Sus scrofa: one gene and its partner. The protein of the gene in region 2 interacts with the protein of the main gene of each other region in a pairwise test. Links are inferred from orthologs where the notes say so. Each region holds a gene or a part of one and is shown on either strand. Other genes may lie near its edges.

Region 1 (4,404 bases), on a different chromosome or scaffold from region 2:
GCTCCAGGCAGCAGGGACCCCAGGACACTAGGACAGCCCAGCTCGATTTCAGCCCAGCTGTCCGGGTCAGAAACACCCAGCTGGGCATCCTCTAGGGCCACGCGGGCCCCGTGCTATTTCTGGACTTCTCCCAGACACTCGTGCCCCAGCCTGCCTGGAGTCAGCTCTGCCCAGGGCAACCTTGCACAAACCTCAGAAAGAAGAGGTAAACAGGCTGCAGGAGGGGTGTGGGTGCCGCAGCCTAAGGCAACGATCTCCTGTTTGGCCCGCCGACCTCACACCTCTGCCCACTCAATCCTCTGGACGCCAGGTGTGCACCTGAGCTTGCAAGATGAGGACAAAGGGACTGGCAGCAGAGATACTGCCATGCAAAGCCTTTGGGAAGGGCCTGGCACACAGGATGAGGAAGGTGGGGTTGGGACTGACCCACAACCAAGCCCACTTCCTGTCCCAGGCTGCCCTCTGCCTGGGCCTGAGCTCACAATCATGGCCTTTTTTCTTGGCCCAGAGAAGTACAGAAACTTACCCAAAGTCACGAGCAAGTGACAGAACAGAGACAGGACAGTGGTCTCATGATTAGATCATCTATAATACATATATATATACATATATAATTTTTTTTTCCTTTTTATAGAGCCTCACCCACAGCGTGTGGAGGTTCCCAGGCTAGGGGTCCAATTGGAGCTACAGCTGCCAGCCTCTGCCACATCCACAGCCACACAGGATCCCGAGCCGCATCTGTGACCTACACCACAGCTCACGGCAACGCCAGATCCTTAACCCACTGAGCAAGGCCAGGGATCGAACCCACAACTTCATGATTCCTAGTCGGAGTCATTTCCACTGCGCCACAGTGGGAACTCCTATAAGACATATATGTTTTAACCCGGTGATATATGTATGTGGCTCAAAATTCAAAAGCTCTAAAGGGAATAAAGTTAAAAAAAAAAACCTCCCTCCCACTCCTGTCCCCAGTTTCCCTCCCTGCAGGCATCACTGCGACGAGATAGCTGCACGTCCTCCCAGTGAGATGTTAGTCACAAACAAACAATAATGGACATATAGTCTATTTTTTACACATATGGCAACAGCTCTCTGTACTGTTTTCATCTTGCTCTTTAACTCAGTTATATTGTTCTTAATATGTGTTATTAACATATTATCAATTATGTTATTAATTGTGCCACATCAGTACATAAAGAACCTGTCAGCCTCTAGCAACGGCCACCAAGTATGTGTGTCGTCTCTCTCTATTACAAACCACACTGCAGCCTCACTGCACCTCTGTCACTCCACCTAGAAGTGGGACAGCTAGGTCAGGAGGAAGCACCTGTAATTGCGACAGAGCTGGGGGGCTGTGCTGCATATCGACTGAACTCCCACCAGCAGAGCGCTCAGCAAATGATCAACAAATGTTAGCTCTAGTCATTTGATTACTGGGGTTTTAGGCACCCCTCAATTTTGCACTGGAGGTAACTACCTCACTTAGCCCAACCCCTCCCTGCGTCACATTCCAGTCAGAGAAGATAATAAACTTGCTAATAAGTGAAATTATAGGACATCAGCGCGGTAAATGCTACTGAGAAAAACAAAATAGAGAAGGGGGAGGGTGGGGCCATATGAAGTTGGTAAATATTTGTTAAAAGAATGAAGGAAAGACTTGTTTTCTTTCTGAGCTTCCAGAACTCCTCTCCCCCCCACCAAGGAGGTGGATTTGGAGGAGAGAGGGTAAGTAACTCCACTTAAAGAGATTCCAGACTTCCAGATGCCACCATTCTGAGTGTCTAGGAATCCAAGATTGAAGCCAGATAGACTGGGAGCCAGCCCCAGAGTTGCCAAGTCTGACCATATGACTTTGGGCAAGGGGCTTAACTTCTTAGACCCTCAGTTTCCCCACCTACAAAAGGACAGCAACAGCAGCAACCTGGGGGTGGGAGATAGGGGGTGGGGGTCCCCAGGAAACAGAGCCTGGTCAGATGCTCTACCAGGAGGGATCCCAGGCCCACCCCCAACTCCAAAGTCTCTGGTGACTAGTGTCTTTGGTTGAGGGGCTGCCTCTAGCCTTTCCCGCCGACCTGTGGTAGATTCCCAAGAATCCAACAACAACTGGAGAGCCAGAGCAGCCCCCCCTGGCACCTAGCCCAGAAATGTCAGTCCCACCAGAGCCTCTGAGAGGGACAGCACTTAATTCAGAGCCCCACAGGCAGAAAGATCCCAAGTGAGCCCAAAGTCCACCCCCTGGCTTTCTGGAGAAGTGAAGACAGATGTCCAGGAGGGGACCCCCCACCCCCACCCCGCAGGACGACACGGGAGAGGGACAGCCAGATGGGGCTCCAGCCAGGGCTCTACTGTCCATGTTCCTGTTGATAAGAGGCTAAGAAAGTGACCCATCTGAGCCTCTCAAGGCAGATCTATTTAGATCAACGTAGACTAGAGACTGAGGTATGGAGCAGAAAGACCTGTATCGGATTCTCTGCTAGACTAGGATACTGCCTCCCTGAGCCTCAGCGTTCTCATTTGTGAAATGGGGTACCACCTCCTCGCCGCAGGTACCACGCGGGGAGGACGCGCACAGCAGGCGCAGGGTGAACTGAGCACCCCCTAGACCCGGGCTGGCGCCCCGGGCCACCCGTGCCCTCACCTGGAGCCCGCGCTAGGCGAGTCCGGCTCCTCCAGTGCGGGTCTTGAGGAGGCTGACAGCTCGGACCCAGGCGGGGAACGGTCGCACACAACGCGTCTCGGGAGGCCCCAGCCCCGCGTAGGGAAGCACGGGAGGTCCTTCTGAGCTGCCCTCAACACCCGAGAGGAGGTAGGGGACTCGACTGTTCCAAGCCCCCACCAGAGTAAAGTTCTGGGGACGCAGGGGAAGGGGAAGTGAACGCGCCGCTCCCCCCTCCACCACACCGGAATGGTTTGCCCCGGACATCCTGATTGGTTTCTCGCTTCCGTTCGAACGCCGCGCCGCCCGCGTTGCCAGGCGACCACTCAGCTTCAGCCAGGAGGGTGAGCCCTGGCCGGCGGCACCGAGGTCCATCCCCGCCCCTCACCGCCTCTCACCTCCCCAGTGGCCTCTGGTTCTTGCCCTTGCTCAGCAGGGACTTACTCCCGGTTCCTAGTACTGACTTTCCAACTAACTCGCTCTGTGAGCCCGTGCACGCCCCTTTCCCTCTCTGTTCCCCAATCTGCAGAGTGAGTGGGTTAGTTTGAAGTAGCGTATATCCAGCACTCTCAATATTGACAAAGGAAATAACCGAATATATGAACAAGATTAATATAGCCCAGCTTTATTTACTGTAGCAAAATAACAGCAATAACTTCAGTGCTCAGTAAAAGGAGATTGGATATATAAATCCATCCTGCAGAAGAACTGAGTTTACAGAGCTTTTTACAAGTAATTTTTCATGACACAACTCTTGTCAGTGCTCATAGTTATAGGTACCTTTAACTATCCTCACTTTCTGATGAGAAATATTATGCAGTCATTTAGAATGACGTTAAAATATGGGGAAAGCACTAAGTCTTATATTTCTAAAAGTTGTGTCAAAGTACTATGTACAATGTAAATATGCATTAAATATGTAATTGTAATATCACATGGACTACATTTATGTATTAACATGTGCAATAGTTAATTTCTTCTTTTTGCTGATATGAATTTTCCAAGCTTCCAACAGTTAAACCAGTATAATTGTTTTCTTTTGGCTGCACCCTCAGCATGTGGAAGTTCCTGGGTCAGGGACTGAACCTGCATGACATTTGCAGCCTGTGCCACAGTTGCAGCAATGCCAAATCCTTAACCCACTGTGCCACAAGGGCACTTCCAAAAAACAAATTTTAAAAAGAGAATTAGAAAAATTAACTCAGCCCTTCCAGATGAGGGAATTTTTTAGCTGTGAGTCACTGTTTGGGTCTAGGGCATTGCTCATTTTGGAGTCAGACTGTTTTCCGTCCCAACTGGTGTTTTTCATTTTTTGATTGGATTGTCAGTGATTGAGCATTGACTGTGACATGCCTTGGGCAGGTGAGGGAAGAGGGCTAATAATGTAGCCCTAGCTAACCATGACTGTACTCTGGCATGGGCACAGCCAGCCATTTCAGGACTGGCTCTGACATCAACAGGAGACTGTGAGGACCAGCTAAATACAAAACCCAGCACTAACTGTGCCCTTGCTAGACTGTGCTCAAGGCCATACTCACAATGTCTCACTTGACTTCATAACCATCTGAGGAGAAAGATTCTATTATTTCTGTTTGTTTGTCTTTTCAGGGCCACAACCACAGCATATGGAGGTTCCCAGGCTAGGGGTCCAACTGGAGCTGCAGCCACCAGTCTACGCCACAGCCACAGCAACTCCAGATCTGAGCCAAGTCTGTGACCTACACCACAGCTCGTGGCCACACCAT
Region 2 (3,591 bases):
GGCAAAGAGTGTTTGGGAACAAAGAAAGTATCAAGTCCCTGAAGTAGGAATAAGCTTGATATGTTCAATAAACAGCTAAAAGGCAAAGGCAATTGGGCCAAACTAAATGGAGGGAGCTAGGGTAAGTGGTGAGAGATGAGGTCAAGAGAAGTGGGTAAATCAGGTAGGTCTTATTTACTCTGTAAGGACTCTGGATTTTATCTTGGGTGATGGGAGGCATACAAGTATTCTGAACAGGAGAACTAAGTGATCTTATTCATGCTATGCACAGAATAGGCTGAAGACAGGCAAGACTGGAAAGAGAATAGTTAAAAAGCTATTGTAGTAGTTCTAAGTCAGTGGTGAAAGTTGTTTGTCTATATATTTGGAGTAGGCTTAAAATGTATTTTAAAAGTGGAGCTGGTAGAACTTACTGTTGGACTGAACAGGGCATAAGAAAAAAAGAGGGGACACACAGCTGACTCTTAGGAATATTCAGAGCCAGGGCAGACTGAGCTAGGTGGATATGTCAGAGGCTTAGTATCAGGCTGGGGTTCTAAAGAAAAGTTGACAGGAATTCTTTTCAGTACCTCCAAAGAAATCCTAGTTCTCACATTGGAAAGAGTGACAACCCAAGGTGGATGAGGATTTATGTGAGAGAGAAGATTCAGCCTATATGGGAAAATTTCAGGATTCTTCAAGTCTCCTGTTGGAAAGAAAAAAAAAAATCCTTGGGATGATGGAAAGACTTAGGCTTTTCTCAGATGAGAGAGATGGACTGGTTTGATCTTTTTTTTCCAAGGATAAATAAATCCATTAAAACAAATGTATGCATATTTGTATATGTGTCTATGATGTGAACACGCATAGTTTTTGTATTTCCTTTAGCAAATTTTGTGCCAAGACTCAATTATCTCACATCTAGAATTTGTGTCACTTTGTGCTGCTGATACACTTCCAACCTATCTTCATTTAGAAATTCTTTTTTATACTGCTGCCCATTGATTTGTCTAAATTACCTGTGATGAAGGACCAGTTTTTTAAATCTCAACCTGTCATGTTTATAGAATACAAGTTAATTACTTGAAAAAGTGGAATTAAAAAAAAAGATTACAAAGTACAAGCCCAGTTTTTTAACTAAATCAACTGACATAAAAATTATTCTGTCAGAAGTTCCCTTGTACAGCAGGTTAAGGGTATGGTGTTGTCACTGCCATGGTTAGGGTCGAAGGAACTGGCCCAGGAACTTCCACATACTATGGACAAGGTAAAAAAAAAAAAAAAAAAAAAAAAAAAAATTACTCTGTCAAAGTGTAAGTTTCTTCCTTAGCCTGATATACCAAGTCTTCATAATCAGACCTCTGCCTACCTTTATACCCTTATCTCTTGCCATCATCTGCCATATAACCCTGTGTTTCAGCCTTGCTAAGGTACCTGCAGCTCTTGAAAATATTGTGCACCCTTTTTCTTGTTTGTGTATTTGCTTTCCTTTTGCCTGGAATATCTTTCTCCTTTTTCACCTAGATAATTCTATTTTTACTTTTATATCAGCTTACTTTTTACTTCATCCTAGAAGACCTTTACTTTTACTTGACACTACCCTTAAAATAGATATCCTTCCTTTATGTTCAGCAGTTACTCTCTATATACCTCTATCATAGTATTACACCGTTGTAATTGTTCACATACCCATTTCTCCACAAAGTTTGGGCATTATGAATATAAGATGTATCTGATCTCTGTATTTCCATTACCTAACACAGGAAATGGGCTTACATTTAGACACTTAATAAATGTTTGTTGCATGAACATGTAAATAAGTCATATGTTTCTGAAAAGAAAAAAAAAGTATAAGTTTCTAAGAGCTTACTCTCAATTTCTAAAATATCTTGCCTCAGACTGGTAATTAAACCATTTGTAAACCACATTCTGATTATCAGTAGCATTAAGCATTCAGACCTCAAACGTTTCACTGTCTATTGAACCAAATATAAACTTCTCGCCATGGTCTTAAAAATTCTGTACCAGTTAGCTCAGTCTCACTTGCCTCTAACAAGAAAGCCCTTATCTTCTCTTTAACACAAGGTACCGTTTTTTAACACATTCTGTTTTTGTCTCTGTTTACCCAAAGCATCCTGATACATCTTAAAGATGTTATATCAAAACTGAGGTGCTTATTGCCCTTAGATAACTTTCCTAGGGTCCATTTACCTAATCTTTACCCTTCCAGTATTCATATTTTCTTATATTTATCAGCATAGATTTATGTTATTTGTATTTTTATTAAAGCATATGTTACTTCAGAGTAAAGTCTGATTTTTACCATTGTAAAAATATATAGAATATAGCCACATAGATATCAAAACAATATAAAGTATATAAGTAATAACCTGCTAATCTAAATGTATATGTGCCTAGGGAGATAAAGCACTGGTGTCTATGGGAACCTGCATTCATCCCTTTACCCCCATGCCCTGCTTTCTCTTCTTGTCTTACTAGGCCTGTCTCCATTAACACTGGACCCTAAAACTGCTCACCCAAATCTCGTGCTCTCCAAAAACCGAACCAGTGTGTGGCATGGTGACATTAAGCAGGTAATGCCTGATGATCCAGAGAGGTTTGACTCAAGTGTGGCTGTGCTGGGCTCTAAAGGCTTCACATCTGGAAAATGGTACTGGGAAGTAGAAGTAGCAAAGAAGACAAAATGGACAGTTGGAGTTGTCAGAGAATCCATTCTTCGGAAGGGCAGCTGTCCTCTAACTCCTGAGCAAGGATTCTGGCTTTTACGACTAAGGAACCAAACTGATCTAAAGGCTCTAGATTTGCCTTCTTGCAGTCTGAAACTGAATAACAACCTCAACAAGGTGGGCATATACCTGGATTATGAGGGAGGGCAAGTATCCTTCTACAATGCTAAAACTATGAACCACATTTACACCTTCAGTAGCACTTTCATGGAGAAACTTTATCCCTACTTCTGTCCTTGCCTTAATGATGGCGGAGAGAATAAAGAACCATTGCATATCGTACATCCACAGTAATTTGTCATACTGTTGTATAAATTCGGAGCAATATTAAAGAGGTATTAAAATAGTTTACCAGTCTCGCTGGTTTCTCTTCCCAATTCATGGGGAACTCTAAAATAATGAAAAGAGGATTCACAAATGGAATTTCATACTCAGTGTGCTAAGTGGATTTCACTGGAGCTTTTCAAGATGTAGTTCTAATTCTCAGAGGTCTACTATGACACAGGAGACACTCTCAGGAGTGTGACCATCATAGTAATCTATTATTACTAGGGCAAAATGCAACTTGAGTTTGCAATGCTCAGGAAGCCTGTACAAACTTGTTTAGAAATTCTATCATGCTATCCTTATTCTCCAACATAATTATTCTTAATAGATTCATTTTTAGATGTGTTCCCCTTATCTTTTAACGTAAAAATTTTTTTGTCTCTTTGTCCTTTTAGGGCGGCACCTGCAGCGTATAGGTTTCCAGGCTAGGAGTCTAATCGGAGCTATAGCCACTGGCCTTTGCCACAGCCACAGCAACGCCAGATCCAAGCTGCGTCTTCGACCTATACCATAGCTCATGGCAACGCCAGATCCTTAA

What was found.
Region 1: the proteins of TRIM69 (region 2) and FAM110A interact in binary tests that used the Homo sapiens proteins (3 or more experiments, as listed by UniProt). The two-hybrid records come from large-scale screens. The link is inferred for Sus scrofa from reciprocal best matches to the Homo sapiens genes TRIM69 and FAM110A.

What each region holds. Positions count from the first base shown.
Region 1 is NC_010459.5:34,434,851-34,439,254, forward strand, and holds the start of FAM110A (protein FAM110A), read right to left. Parts: upstream 2,880-4,404; 5' UTR 2,642-2,879; exon of another isoform or gene 1-2,641.
Region 2 is NC_010443.5:126,775,293-126,778,883, reverse strand, and holds the end of TRIM69 (E3 ubiquitin-protein ligase TRIM69), read left to right. Parts: intron 1-2,478; coding exon 2,479-3,020; 3' UTR 3,021-3,028; downstream 3,029-3,591.